Caenorhabditis elegans: one gene and its partner. The protein of the gene in region 1 interacts with the protein of each later gene in a biochemical or structural test. Each region holds a gene or a part of one and is shown on either strand. Other genes may lie near its edges.

Region 1 (8,187 bases):
CAAAAAAAAGCGAAAAGCAATCAGATTTCAATCTATTCTCGAGAATAAATAAAAAACACTAAGAGAACGAGGAGAAACATGTTAGTTGTCCGGTTTCGGAGAAAATTGAAACAAAAGCTGAATATGAGAAATTTCTATATTCAAACTTCCATAAATTTCACGAGTAGTCATAAAATGACGTTGTTGTCTGACAGGAGACACTAATCTTTTAACTTGACAACCTAGTCTCTTCGACCACGTCACTAGATTGTGCCAAGAAATTTACGGAGTCGCGCCGCTCTTTCTCGTGAGCAAGAAGAGAGAAGGGAATAAATAATAAAGCACCGACAACGAAAAGGAGTGTGTCTCGTAGGATGTGCTGGCGAGAAGAAGAAGCGGCAGCAGCAGCAGCAGCTTCGCGAATTAAAAAAACAGAATGACGAAGCAGCAACCACCTCCTCCGCATTGCTGAAACAACAAAAAAAGGAAGGACTTTTTTCCGAAGAAATGTATCTAAACCCATTGTGGGAATAAGCGAAACGAAACGAAGAAAACGAAATAGAAGAGAGGCATATTTCTATACTTGATGCGACGAGCGTTTTTCTCCGTGTGTGTTTATAAACGCACAGACACGCAATCTCCCGTTGTTTCAAATGTCTTCGAGTTGCTTCTCCAGACCGGTGTCATCCACTAGAGGGGCTTCTAAAACCGTTTTTCAACTGGCTATGATGATGATTAATTGGTGGAGCTCGCCGGAGCCAGAAGCGACTAACTTTGATGATGCTACTGATAAAAGGATGTGACGGATGAAATATGGGGTTTTCCAATAGAAAAGCTCGAGTATAGAAAATCAAAAATTCAAACTTTTGCAATTGCAGAGACGGAAAAAAATTTGTGGCCGAGTTTTACTTTTTCGCGGCCACGTAACATAAAAAAGGTGAAAAGTCTTCAAATTCCATGATTCTCAACTTTGGAGTGAATATTTTTGAAAGCCATCCCTGTTATATTTTTCCGAGAAGAAATGAATATTTGGGGAAAAAGTTGGTTCGCAAAAAAAATAGGAAGCCACATGTTTTTCTCGTCGTCGTTTTCTGGTGGCTCGGAACTAAACCGCAGAATTGGCGCACGTGTTTGTTTGTCTGTTTTCCTTCTTAAAGATTATAAAAAGTGAAACATGCAACTGAATGGTCACTACTTGTTGTTTCTATCCACGGAGAGACATAGACGGCGTCAACGATCAGGTCGTAGTGGGCCACAAAACGAGGACACAAACATAAACAAACTCGTATCTGACTGACTGGTTGAAGAAGGAGCAAAAAAGCGATACGGAGAGCGGAGAGATAGCGAGAAGGAGGTCATAATCGTGGCATCCTCACCCAACTGTATGCGGGACGAAGAGGAGGCCAAATTGCAACAATAACAAACCGTGATCGCCTCGTTGCTGCTGCAGCTATGGAGCGAGCGACGAGAAGACGGATGGATAGTATGGAGACACACCGCCCGTAAAAGGGAGAGAAGGAGAGAGACAGGAAGGAATGGACACTGTACGAGTTATATGCAGCGAGCCGATGGATCGATGGATAGTGTGTTGAATATTGAGAGACGCAGCAGCATGGCAAACGACACCTGCACGTGTTTGTGTATGTGTGTGGTACACCCTCCAAAAAGGGCCGTCATAATCGAAGAAGAAGATGAAATTGCCGAGAAGGAGGTATTAACCGGATCAACTCAATTGGCATACACAGGGAAGATTCGGGTACTTTTGATGTTGGAAAATGGTCTGGAAAGTCTAGATCTGGAGAAAAAGTTACTGTGCAAAATAGAGAACATAACTTGCTATATCCTGAGAAAAAGCATTGTATGAACTGTTGGATCTGATAGAATCCCAAAAAAACTTCAGTTAGACTGCTCGGTGGCTCAAACTTCACGTCAGCACTGTGAAATGAAAAGTTGAGAAGTCTTCGTCTAAATTTCCGCAATTCTCGTAGATCTAAGTAGATCAACCCGAAATGGGACACTCTCACACCAAGTGAAGCTTGCTACTCAGATATCTTTTACGTTATCGAAAAATTGTTAACTGATGTCTCTACAAAACTTTGAAAATCTAAATTTTTATAGCAATTTAATTGTACAAACCATGGCAGAATTAATTGAAAATTTAGAATTGTAAAATTACAATTCTTTCAAAAAATTGGTTAATCTGACCGATGGAGAGTTCTGACTACTAAAACCTACAAATATGGATACGATAGCCAGGTGTCCTTCATTTTCAACTTGAAAAAAAAAAGTTTTTCACATTACAAAAATGGACGAATCCAAAAAAAAGCGAGTTGCAGGTGTGTGCAATTATGACACAATGCCTCTTTTTTTGGAATGAATATTCCTGGAACTGAGCCAGTTATTGGCAGCCGGTAATTATAGAGGTCACAGGTGGAACCAGAGGACTTGAGATAAAATCTAGAGCATTAGAAAGAAGATTCTGGAAATTGCAGAGATTCGAGGCAGGGGTGGATGGGAAACGATTTTTCACGGCAAATCGGCAAATTGGCAGAAATTAAAATTTCTGGCAAACTGGCAGAAATGATAATTTCCGGCAAATCGGCAAATTGCCGGAATTGAAATTTCCGGCAAATCGACAAATTGGCAGAAATGAAAATTTCCGCCAAATCGGTAAACCGGTAAACTGCGAGAAATGAAAATTTCCGGCAAATCGGCAAATTGCCAGAAATGAAAATTTCCGGCAAATCGGCAAATTGGCAGAAATTAAAATTTCTGGCAAACTGGCAGAAATAATAATTTCCGGCAAATCGGCAAATTGCCGGAATTGAAATTTCCGGCAAATTGGCAAACCGGCACATTGCCGATTTGCCGGAAAAACGGCAATTGCAGAAAAGTTTCGGCAAATTGTGGTTTTGCATTTTGGAAATATGAGAATTTCAATTCTAATCGGCAAAAACAAAAATTGGCAATTCGCCGGAATTTAAAATTTCCGGCAAATCGGCAAACCGGCAAATTGCCGGAATTAAAATTTGCTTGAAATTTCTAAATTGCAAAAATAATTAAAATACCAAAATTTTGCAGAGCACTTCAAATTAAAAAAAAAAAAACTTCACAATGAAATGCAAGTTTTTAGGTTCAAATCAATTTCAATCTTCTCAATTTCATCTAAGAATTTCACTCAATTGTCTCACATAGACATTTACACTGAAAAGTGCGGACAGGTTATCAAAAAGTCAGTCAAAAGGACGAAAGCATTGGAGGTGCGTGATGAGAAGAGGCGACAACGACCACATAAATGATTTGGCAGTTTAGTCCCGGACGGGCGCCATCGTCGAATTTTAATTGGTTCCGTTGTCTCTGTCGAAGTGAAGGAGATGGAGATGGATGAAATATTGAACAAAAAATGAAAAAGTTGGTGAAATTTAGATTGCATTTAGATAGAGAAAATGAATATTTTTGGGTGAATTCTACTTCAAAAATTTCTAGGAAAAGTGTGTGTAAATACGGATAATAGGAGTTTTCAAGGAACACTGTCTAGGGTCAACTTCTCAAAAAAGAAAATAATAATATATTTTCAGAACCAATTTTAGAAGGACAAACTAGCTCAATTTTCGAGGTTTCTCGGCAATGTTACAGGCTTTTTCTTAAATAGAACAAAAATTACGCTTTGAATGGGAAATGCACCAAGAATTGGTGAAAATCCTCGGGGAGTACACGAGCTGCGTAAATCGACACGAGGTTTTTTATAGACTTTCATGGTTTTTTTTTTCAAAGTTGGGAATCATGAATCACACCAAATGTTACAAAAAAAAAGTATGTGATTTCAAATTTTTAAATTGAAACTATTTTCTCCTTTTGAATTTTTTTGTCAATATTCAAAACAATATTCAATTTTTTCAGCAATTTTTCGGGAAAAAACATTTAAATTTTTTGGCATTTTTTAGTGGAATTTTTTTGTTTTCTGCTACCAACAAATCTTAAAAGTATAAAAAATTTTATATTTTTCTCGCTAATTTCAACTTTTCATCAAAAATTATTGTGTATTTTCAGCAAAAAATTTATTTTTATTTGCTGCAAATTTTGCTGGATTTTTTTTTTGGTTTTTTAAACAAAATTTGATTTTTTTCAAATTTTTTTTTATCAATAGAGTGATTTTTCTTGGTAAATTTAATTTTAATTAAAAAATTTCAATTTTCTTAAATGCGATTTTTTTTCCAAAATTTTTTAGCAAGAGAGTAGTTTTTCTTGGTAAATTGTATTTTAATTATATAGTTTTAATTATCTAAAATTCAATTTTTCAGGTAGTAAAATCCAGTTTTCTATACGAAAAAGCAATTGAAATTTTTTTTTCAAAAGCCACTGGAAGTTGACAAATTCGGCAAATTGCCGGTTTGCCGGATATCAGATTTGCCGGAAATTTTTAGAAGGATTTTTTATAAGACGGAACCCTGAAAACTGTGCTTTTTTGATATTTTTTCCTATTTTTTTATTTTCATAGAATTTGCTTATTTTTTCGGAGTAAACATGTAAAATTGAGGCAATTTTTAGGTAAATTTTTTCCCGGAAAATTCAAAATTAAAGAGAAAACCGCACCTTGGCTCCGAAATAAACATCTCCTCAATCACAAAGAATTCCGAGAGATCATCCATCGACACATATGAGAGTTGATGCCTGAAAAAGAGCCCAAAAATTGGAGTCTCTGAGACTTTCATACATTTTCCGCTTCATATATTTCTTACTCGCGGGGATCTATCCACCAAGTTGTTCAACAAATTTCAAGAAACAAATATTTTGGATAAATTTTGTTGGAAAAAAAACTCTGGGGGTACACAATGAAAAACAGAAAATGATAAAGAGATAAATAACAATTAAAAGTGAATCCTAAAGAAATAAAAAACAAAACAAAAAAAGAAGAAGAAAAATCCTATTCACTATTAAAAGATAGAGTACCGAAATCAGATTCAAAATGTCCCAAAACTTTCGAATTTTATAATGAAAAGTTCCGAAAATTTCTCAAAAAAAGGTTTTCGCAGTTCAAAGTTATGGAAAAATTCGTATTTTCAGCAAAAAAATCAATTTAAGGTTTTTTTTTTGGTTTTTAATCTAAATTCGATTTTTTTCCAAATTTATTGTTTATCAAGAGTCGTTTTTCTTGGTAAATTGTATTTTAATTATCTAATATTCGATTTTTCAACTAATTTTCTACACCGAAAAGCCTAAAAACTTTCGGAACTTGTTGTTTATTTAATTAACACCTTTTAATACATAGTTTAATTAATTTAGATACATTTTCAATTGATGGGTGCACAAATTTTATATAATTTTGTGCGCTCTCAACGAGTAAACGCGTAATATATTACTAAAATATGCATTAAAAGGAAATAAAATTAAAAATTAATTCCGCATATTGATTTTTGTTTCGGTTTTTTTCTGAAAAATAAATCAAAAATTCTGATTTTCTTTGAAAAAATCAAAAATTCTCAGATTTTCTATGAAAAAAAAATTGAAATTTGTTTTTACTTTCCCGGAAAAATCGAATTTTTTAAAAATTTTCTCCGAAAAAAATCGGAATTTATTACATTTTCTCAGAAAAACAAAATCGAATTTTTCAAAATTTTCTCAAAAAATCGCTTTTCTCTGAAAAACATCGAAATTTTTTGAACCACCCTAAATTTTTTTTTTGAGAAATTTTCAGAACATCTCATTGCGAAATTCGGGTTAAATTTCGGTACTCCACCTTCAAACAAAAATTTAAAAAAAAATTAAAATTAAAGAGCATTCTGAGCAGCAATCTGTTCCTGTTCGTGAAGTTTGTGAACCAATTTCTGTTTTTCCGTATTGAAATAATCAGCGAACCACTTCAAATGTTCCCGCTTCTTCGCTGCTGTCATATATGGATTCTTGGATAAACCAACACAAACCAAATGCATAAAATGAGCAATTGGACCAGATTTCGGGATACCCAATGATGGTAAATGTCTCTCCAAGAATACGTGATCAATGAATGAAACATTCGATTCATCGCCCATTTTGAACTCATTATCGATTGGATATTCCCATTGTTTTCCTTTTGTTGTCCATTCGATTTGTTCTTCGAAAGAATTTGTTGGTCCGAATGAGCCGTTGGAAATTCTGAAAAAAAAACGGTTTTTTTAAGGTGGATAATGGATTTGAATGATCAAATAAGTAAAGAAAATTATAACATTTTTCTACATTTTTCCAATTTTTCTTTCAATTTTTCAACACAAAAAAATGCCAAATTTCATGAATTGATTGACTTGAAACATTTTCTATTTTTCGTTTTCCTTTTTTGAAAATCAAAAAAAAATTGTTTCTCGATATTAGTTATTTTTCCGATGTTTCAATTTTTGATTTTTTTAATTAGCTGAATTTATGATAATTTTTCTTCTTTTTAAATGACATTTTTATGTTTTTCATCATCAATATGAACAAAATTAGATAAAAAATCGATTTTGATGGTTAATTTTCTGATCCAATTTTTTTTTGGATTTTTTAGAAAACCGGCAAAATTTCGTTAGTTTCCGTGAAAAAAGGAAAAAAATATCGATTTTTATATAATTTACATAAAATTTCAGACAAAAATCACGAAAAAACGATAATTTCAGCCGGAAAATGCGAATATTTAAAACAAAATTTTTTTACAAAATTGAAAATATCACGCAAAATTTAGAAAAATCTTTCAAAATTTTTAATACTTAGTTTTTCTGATAATTCACTAGTTTAAGCTAAAATCTTCGTTTTTGTCAACTTTTTCGCACCATAGCGACTGGAAATTGTTTTTATAGAATTATGAAGAAAAAACCAACGAAACAACGTTAAAAATTACCAAAAATGTGTGAAACAAATCGCTGCAAAACGGAAAAATTGAGAAAATCTGAGATTTCAGCTAAAATTAGCAATTTTTATCAAATTTCGGGATTTTGAGCCATTTGATTTCATAAATATCTACCTTGCAGCTCTTTCATCCCATTGTTTCCAGAAGCCAAGGGAAAAATCTTCATATTTTTCGCCCTTTTTCCAGATTCCTAGAGGCTTCTGATTGAACAATTTAATAGCATCATTGTCAACTTTCACAGGTTTACGAACAGCACTACTAATCAAATCATCCTTGTAAATCTTTTCCATAAATTCCAAGGCCATCGTGAACAACTTCTGATCCTTCTCACTTCTCTCCGTCTCTTCAACTTCTTCTTGTTCCACCTTTTCTCTAACATCATTTAGAAGAGCTTTTCGCTGCTCTTGGAGCTTTATCTGTGCTTCATTGACAATTGTCTCTGATTTGACACGAGCTTCTTCTGTCGTGAAGCCACTTTGAACTGCCTGATAGAAAATCTCTTTTCTGAGAAGAACAAGTCCTCGTTTTTCTTGTCGAAGTTGAGCGGATCTGGAAAAAAAATGAAATTTGTCACGGATCATTGAAAATGGCTCACTTGGGAGGAAGCTTCTTCTCAACTTTGGCATCGCCCGCCACATCGGCAAGAAGTCCGATAAGTGCCTGATCATCGAGCATTTCACTGCTTGCAGAAGCTGCGGCAGCATCAAAACTCGCTTTTTCGTTTGCTACTAATCGATTGATCAATGTATTTTTTAGTCTGCAAAGTTATATTTGAATCTTTTTTATTATTTTTCACCCTACGATTTCTTTTCGGAGCCATTCTGCGGGTGAATATTATTCGCTACTCCTTCAATCGCATTCAGCAAATCCTCATCAATCGCGTCTTTTGCACCTTTCTGGAAGAAACTGGTTTAAAACTTGAAAAATGAGCCGGAAAACTTACACCATCATTTCCATCGCCCGAAGCTGCGCTGGACAGCAATCGAGGTTGTCTTGCACCGCCAAGTCGAACAGCTATTGAGCACAGACTTCTCAGCATCTGAAAAATCAAATAAAAATAATATTAAAGACTTAAAACTAGAAAATATTGACGAAAATTGCTCGAAAAAACAGCGAAAAACTTAAAAAGAAATATTGGCTAAACAACACGCGGGTGCGGGATTTCGGAGTATCGTCGTGTGTACTCCTCTCGGGGTTAGTTTTTTTCTTCTTTTTTTCTCCGTCTGCCTGCATTTTCCCGCATTTTCCCACGCCTTATCGCTATGTTTTTTTTGACAATTTGTGTTCTTTTTGATTAAAATGTTTCTTATCTGAAATCAAAATGTTATCATTAAATAATATGTAATAGGAAA
Region 2 (7,968 bases), on another chromosome or scaffold:
AAAGCATTTACAAGCGAGGCCGTAGTAGAAGCCGTTGTAAACGAATTGAAATCAAAATTGAATGGAATTGAGAAATTCGGAGGCGGAAAAGTCGGAGCAAGCGGTGGTGCCACGGAGCTCGGTGCTTCGAGATTCGTGAGTGTAACACCATCAGATGCAGTTACTGTATTGCTAGTGGTACTAGATATCACACTAGTTGGCACATCATTGGAAGACGACGGAGCCCCACCAACCCCATAGTAATAGGGATAATACGAATAGTACGGGTTGAGCATCGAGAGGAATGTTCAATGTGGGATGGGATAGAGGTAATACAATAGGGATTGAATAAAAACCAATGTCTGTGGCCTTGTCGTTTTAAATATGAATGTGTGTGTGAGACACAGGAGAATGATAACGATGTGGGTGGCGCCCGGTCTTTTAGCCGCCACAGGAGAGCCGTTGTGCATAATTTTGATTCTTTTTTGGTGTTGCCGCGACGTGCGCCCATTATAATAAAATAGTATTGGCACACAGTGCGGAACCCTTTCAGTGAGACCTCAAACGAGATGCGAACTACTAGTAAAATTATTTATGTGAATAGTTTATTACAGACTGATAAGGGTGAGAAATTCGAAAAATTATCACATGATAATGGTGTTAGGAATGTTTTGACTTTATAGATTGAGTTGAGCTATCTCAGAACAAGTTTTTAGGTTATTGTACTTGTTATACTAGTTCTATCAGTATTTCACTTCATTTTTAAATAGCTTACATCTCTGTTGCGAAAACTACAATAATTCTTCAAGTGACTACTGTAGCGCTTTGTCTATACGAGATATTTCGGCTAACAAGTTGCAAAATACGAATTCTCAGAATTTACGTAATCCAATTAATACCTCGTTTATTACTAATTTCACTCACCAAATGCTGGTTGTCCTCCATAACTGAGAAGGTGGCTTGGAAGTGGGGAATTGGTAGAGACGACAGTACTGCCAAAGTTATGATACGTGGGTTGCATTTGCATTTGAAGCCACGCGTCTGTTGAACTGAATCCCTGTTGTGCTTGTGGAGGAGGTGGTGGTGGTGGAGCATGATAGTAATATGCATCAGGAGTCGGATAACACATTGATGCAGCTGCACTTAGAGAAGATGATGAGCTATCATATCCACCAGATGATACCATATCAGTTAAACTTCTCGATAGAAGTCCATCATCACAATATAGATGTGGATGATGATGCTGATTGAGTGATGCAGCAGCTGCAGCAGCCGCCGCCGCGGCTACTGTAGACGCTGTCGACTCGGAAGAAGCTACCGAAGACGACTGATGATAATCCATCCCGGAGTGTCTTGGCGTTGAGGGCGACGATGGGACCGATGTGGATGGGTGGCGCGTGAAAGTCGAGTCTTGAAGGGGGGTCTTCGCGGTGCAGAAGCCGCTCTCGTCGTGGGATATCCGATGCGAAGATTCCCACCGAGAATAGTAGAAGCTGAATATTGTGGGGGAAAAACCGACGGTGGGGCTGGCTGTGGGTTTGTGAAGAACGAAGCCGTCTGTCAGCAAGAAGAGCACACAATGAAAAGGAGAGCGGGTGGGAAAACGAATAGTCTCCTCTCCTTTCCTTTCCTCACTTCGGTTTTCTTCCTTCTGCGACTCACAATCGCCACGCCTCCACGAAAACATTCTTTCTCTTCTTCATATAGTCTATAGCTTTTTCTGATGGAAAAGCACACAGAAAGACAAACTGGTAGATGGGCGGAGTCAGAGTATCCAATCAGAGAGAGAGAGCGTTGAGCTCTTCGGATATTTCATGACTGAATAGGTGAACGCTAATTGAGTGGCATCTGGAAACAAAGACGTTCAAAATTGAACCATCCTAATATAGTAACGGTCGCTTTCATTCACTTTCACTCATTTACATTAAATCTTAATCCTCACTTGTTGCCTTCCCGATGTACCATGTGTATACACAGGTGATCTCTTTGTTGCGTTCCGTCGTGGTGGTGGTGCCTCTCATCACACGAGAAGAGTCAAGAAAGTTATGGGATAACGATAAGACAAGAGGATCTCAAGTGATTCATGAGTGTGAATCTTCGTGTGAAAATCGATGGGTTGGTTGGTTGGGGAAAATTCTCGGGGGATGACTGATAGGGAAGAGTGCACATTCAGATATATGGAAAATCGGAATTTCTGGATTCTTGGAGACATCCGAATTAAATCATATCTGTCGAGTCAACCTACAAAGGGAACTTCTTACTATCTTCTCTATTGACTAATACACCTCATTTAAATTGCACTACGGCCATTGTCCACTGTGTGCTCAATTCAAAGAGCATGATGGTACCTCCAGGCACCTGTCGACCAGGTACAGTACTTTTCCTTGATAGCTCTCTGTCTTTGATCTATTTCATTCTATCATTATTCGTGTGAAGTGAACCATCTGCGTAACTCGATTCCTTGTGGTCTCTTGTCAAATAGAGATGAGCACCAAAAGTTCCCACATGAATATGGACAACTATGCATATTTTTATTCACTTCTATATTTATTTCACAGAACTGTGTCGGTCTCTTCCTTTTTGTTTTCCGTTGATTTCCAAATCATAATGAAAACAAGTTCCCCATCAAGCGATTCTCGAATTTTTCGTGCTTCGAGAGAGAAATCATTAGAAAATCAAGAAATCGTAGAGCTCCACACAAGAAGTCTAGGGAGAGCTGAGCTGAGCCGTCGGCACTGCTCAAATTATCGATCGACGTGGGAAAATTCGACGGGAAAAGAGAGTGGGCTTATGAATTAGCCACCAGTCGATGCAGCTAACAGAAGCACACGCGCGCTCACACTCTCACCATTCGGCGGTTTTCAGTTTCCCAAATAACAAGGGAAAGGGAAAAATTTTGAGGGAAATTTCAGTTGGAAGAACACATTTGCAAGGGAAAATCAGAAAAATGTATCTGATACGACTTTTTTTTGGGGGGAAAAAATGGTCTAGAACATGAATTTTGAAAGTTTACATATTTTTTAATTTTGAAAATTTCCAAAACTCACAATTTGTCGGCGAATTTTTCGACTGATCTTGCCCATTTGTTCCTTTCGAAGTTGATGCGACATCACTGTGGCTACTCGTACTGGGAGAAAGTCTCATTCGTTTTGCCGATGGAGATGCGAGTTCTGGAGTTGGCGATTTCTGAAATTGATATTATAACATTTTAAAATATAAGAATTTATTAGTGAAAACTAACCGATATAGTGTCAATTTTGGGAAATAAATTATTCTGCTGCATTTGAAATGTCATCAACGCTTGTATCTGAAATAAAATAAATCAAAAGTTGATAAAAATATCGAATTTTTGAACTCGAACACAATGGGGTGACAATCAATAAATGCAGACGTTGGGAAATTACAGGTCATCTCCGTACGCCTTTTTTGTCTATTTTAAATTATTTTAGATTCTAATATAGTTCAAATAACTAATAATTATAGTTTATAAAATTTAAAATTGCCCAAAATATTGAAATTTGAAAAATTCTTAGAAAAATTTCCAGTTTGTAACTTTTTAATGAATAAAAAACTAGGAATTCAAAAATAGGAACTATTTGGGAAATACAAATTTAGAAAATGTTCTCTTGAAATATTGATGCAAGTTTATTTTCAACATTATATATCTGAAAAGTGAGTCCCAGCGACAATACGAGAAATGTTATGGGAGAAAACTAAAGGCTTTTGTGAATATTTTTCGTGCTTCGGGGGACTGGGAAAATTGATTGATTCGATTAGAAATGATTTTGAGAAATTTTGTGAGAAACGGTTTTTTCTGAGAATATTTAAGCAAAAAACTCAAAATACATATCTAAAAATGAATATTCTTATAATATGAAAGGAAGGAAAAAAGGGCCTAATGATAAAAAAAAATTCGACTTTTTGGAAGTGACCAAAATAGAGCCCATTGTTGAATTTTTCCGTAGGGATTTGGGATTTTTAATATTTTGCCGCTGGTTTCAGCGACTTTTTAGCGAATAGTTCAGTTCTCATTTTTAGGTGTTTTAATTTTAAAAATACTACTCCATGCGCCGTTTTTTTCTTGAAAATCGGAAACTTATTGTCAAGTTTTTTCGAAGGGGGAGTAGATTTTTTGAGTTTTTGCCGAACTATACAAAAGCTGGCCTGAAACGAACCAATTTCATAACGAAAATTCTCAAAAAAAAAACCGGCAATTTTTTGAAAAGTCTCGTTATGAAATTGAAAAAATTGAAAAAATTCAGTTGTTTCGGGCGAGTTTTAGTTAATTTGACCAAAACTGTAAACTTTAATACCCCTTTAACTGGGCAACATGACATTTTTACTTTCAATTTTTTATTTATTGCTGTAATTTTGATATTTTCCGAATTTTTAGAATTTTCTGATGATTTCTACTACCAAAATAAATCAAATCTCACCTGTTGAAGTGCGGCAATTTGGCTCGGCGCTGCAGCGACACCGGCCAGCGGCGATACCGACTGGAACATTGCTTCTGGAACTCAATGATACGTTGTTTGAAATTTCGATGGATTGATTACGAACTTACCTATAAACTTATCCAGATTTCGTGCGGGTTCACCCAGTCTGAAAATTAAAACTTTAATAAAACTTCATGGAAATTATCCAAAGAGGTTTTTAAACAATTAGAGGGACGTGTCAAAAAGGGAGCACCTCCGAATATAATGCTCTCGGAAGAAGAATGAAACTGCCGGGGAGACACATACACGAAGAATCGACAAAATCGGGAGGTGTGCGTATGTTTTATCACTTCTATTCCCACCACTTCGACCTCCGCCTCCGAATCGATCATTAAATTTTGTCGTCGATTCGGAGAAAAGAATATCGGTAAGGAAGCAGAGGTACGGTACTTGTGCGACAAAACGGAGCACCCACACATATTATATTCGTATACGAGAAGAAGAAGTTTGATGGGTTTCGGCGGGATTTTTATGTCGGAATATGGTAAGAAACAAGAGATCGGACAACTAAAAAAGCAGGAGTGTGAAGCTTTGAAACGAGAATAGAAGATCCACGGAATCACTTAAATCTAGTATTTTCAGATTGAAGATGAAATTCTGAGAGAATCCGATCATGAAAACGATTATATTTGAAGCGAATACTGTATTTTTTTCAAATGTTCTTCGAGTTTTAAGTTTGAAAATGACAAAATTTTGAGATTTTCAAACAGTTTTTTTCAATAATTTTTAAATGCATATATGTTTCTTTGATACTGTAAAAGGTCATAGATGAGTACGAATTTTTGGGAAAGAAGAAATTAGCCTTCGAAATCAAAAATAAAATTTTGAGACGAACAATGCTAATATGGAAAAGAAGAGCAAAAAAGATTTGAAAAATTGCGGTAAAATCTGATTACAGAAAGAAGCTCGAATTGAATAAATTTCTCAGAATCGAAAAAGTGCGTTAATTCTAAAGTAGAACAAATTGCTTTGAGTCGGATAACTGATATAACGAATTGAATGCTCAAAATACTTTCCTTTCGACCTATCGAATGCTCCAATTCCATGAATTCTAAAATTTATCCTCAAATCTGAAAAAAATGCACTCGCAATTATTTTATTTTTTTACAAACAAAATACACACAGATTTTTTAATTTTTTTTGTATCGTATATGTCTGATATCTAATTTCGCCGCCCTCGTTTAAATGTGTTTACAGTTATAAGTTCCACATTTATCACCACTTTTTTCTCTGCAAAAACACTTTTTTGGTGATGAAAATGTGAAGAGACCGACCTATTTTTCGTATTGTACATTTTTGTGTGATATGTGGATTGGATGCGCAAGAGGAGGAAGAAGACGGTTACAAAATGATGATGAAAATTGCCATAAAACAAATGATCTACGACAACGGGCGGGATGAACACTTTCTTTTTTCTGACTTTTCAACACATCTTATTGCAGAAAATATTTCCACGCCCAAAGCCGAGAAAATGATCAATTTATCGAGGGAAAAAAAAGAGTATTGACTGCGTGAAAAACAGGTTTCTAATGATATCAACTTGAACCTGCAGGGGGATTCCCCCGTTTTTATTGGTGAGACAGAAGAAACGTGAGAGATTGTGATGATAAGAGAAGAGTAATTAGAGAAACAAGACAAATTATTTTTGGGAAAAGAAATATGACATCGATCAGATGATTGTAATCAGCTGGAGAGTAGGGTCTTTTTGATTTCGAAATTGTTCAGCACATTAAAAAAAATTGAAATTCCTATACAGTTGGCTGGCCGCTTCTGGATTAAAAAAAAATTTCCTTATTCTGTACTACCGTTATTTTAGAGAAAGGAGGAAAATTTCCAAAAAGTACTAAAAAGCCGATTGGAACACGGAAAATCACACCCCAGATTGAAATGGGGTCTATTATCGAATTTTTCTGATCGGATACTTCCTTTACCTTTATATGTATAATTTTTAAAGATCTAAAAAGGGAATTTATGAAAGAAGACAAGAAAATTGAAATACGATAAAGGGGGAACGAACTTTCTTACTTTGAGTGAAGTCTCGTGTTTTTTAACTTTAATTGTTCATTAAAAAAGAGAGTTTTGGATTTCTGCGCAACTTTTAACAATTTTGTGTCTTTCCAATAAAAAAAAAAGAATTTTCTTATTCAGCTCAACAACTGCTCGGCTTGAAAAAACCTCCTTATTCAAAAAGTCAATCACACAACTCCTTTTTTGAACCAACCGACACTCTCTCTCTCTCACGCCTAATAACTATTTTAATCTCCAATCTAATCGGACACTTTTACCACCTCTAATGCACCGAGAGATTCGGATTGTGTGTCGGTGCAGGTGCAAAGTATGGAACAATTTATAAAATTTACAGTGAAATAACGACGATTCGAGTCTCTAATTATTACAGTACTAGAAGCCAGTGAAGAATCATCAACGGTCGTCAAGGAATAGGTGATGAGATAGGAAAGTGTTGCTGCTGCTGCACACAAACACGGACACATAAAATTGTTATATTGAATAGAAAAAGAAGACGACGGGGTCATGTTGGGTAATCGGTAAAAGAGGAGCTGCTGGAGAAGGTGTGAGAAGAAACGCAGAAAAAGTAAACATAAAAGAAAAGAGAATCAAAGAAGAGAAATGCAACATGTATCCACGAAAAGGTAATGTTCCTTGGAATGGTTGATAAATAGGCGAAGTTTGAAATACGAGAGGATGATCTTAGAGGTGTGAAGGATTGGAATAATTCAAATTTTTTGTACAATCTAATGAGGAATTATTATTACCCAGATCGTGACGAGACCTGCCTTCACGATTCCAGCTTTAATATGATTACGATGTAGAAAATTCAAATACTGGCATAGAATATATAACTAGTTTTCAAATTCTACAGAGAAAATATCGAAATCAAAAACTGAAATTCCAATTTGTATCCAAATAAATAGCTCTTCAAAAATCAGGAAAAAGCATCTTTCAGATATTTTTTTTAATCAAAAAATTCGACCGTCACCGCGTCATGTGCGAAATTGCCCAGAGCATCATGGGAACCTCAACATCAAAACATTGAGAAACTGACTGGTACTGACCGCCGCCGTCGCCAGCGACACCTCAGTCATGACATTTTTTGAAAATGTATACCAGCTAAACAAATATGGAAATCAGTGTGTGACTGGAAAAAAAGAACCGCCGAGGGTGGCGTCGGTGGGAAAATGTCCACACAAGACGGCGCGGCGTAGAACGAACGAGAATATGGGCGGGCAGGACGGCGGGTTCGGTAAAATAAGAACTGTGTGAGAAATATACACGGGAAAACTATGATAACAATTCAAAGTTGATAACAGGAAGAGAGCAAGAGCAGGAAAGTTCTCCGTTGATTGTTGATATTTTGTCAATCAAGGTATGATTCTTTACGAATTAATGGAAAGCTTTTAATTTTTATTTTAGGCTTAGTAATGTTGTTTTCTAAGCCTAAAAATGAAAATAGTATTAAAATGAACATTCACGT

The links. Proteins that work in one complex are often made in the same cells at the same time.
Region 2: the proteins of sel-8 (region 1) and lag-1 are reported together in a solved structure, tested with the Caenorhabditis elegans proteins (one study listed by BioGRID).

What each region holds. Positions count from the first base shown.
Region 1 is NC_003281.10:3,622,493-3,630,679, forward strand, and holds the start of sel-8 (Protein lag-3), read right to left. Parts: upstream 4,651-8,187; 5' UTR 4,629-4,650; coding exon 4,573-4,628; intron 1-4,572. Other genes in the region: mrps-31 (Small ribosomal subunit protein mS31), read right to left, coding at 5,748-6,111, 6,950-7,384, 7,431-7,592, 7,637-7,731, 7,779-7,874. UniProt on the Caenorhabditis elegans protein: glp-1/Notch and lin-12/Notch proteins promote signaling by recruiting lag-3 to target promoters, where it functions as a transcriptional activator, probably as part of a complex with a Notch intracellular domain (NICD) and the transcription regulator lag-1.
Region 2 is NC_003282.8:6,098,035-6,106,002, reverse strand, and holds the start of lag-1 (Suppressor of hairless protein homolog), read right to left. Parts: upstream 4,416-7,968; intron 3,287-4,415; coding exon of another isoform or gene 3,221-3,286; intron 3,166-3,220; coding exon of another isoform or gene 3,027-3,165; 5' UTR 1,667-3,026; coding exon 904-1,666; intron 1-903. UniProt on the Caenorhabditis elegans protein: Transcriptional regulator that plays a central role in lin-12/Notch and glp-1/Notch signaling pathways, involved in cell-cell communication that regulate a broad spectrum of cell-fate determinations.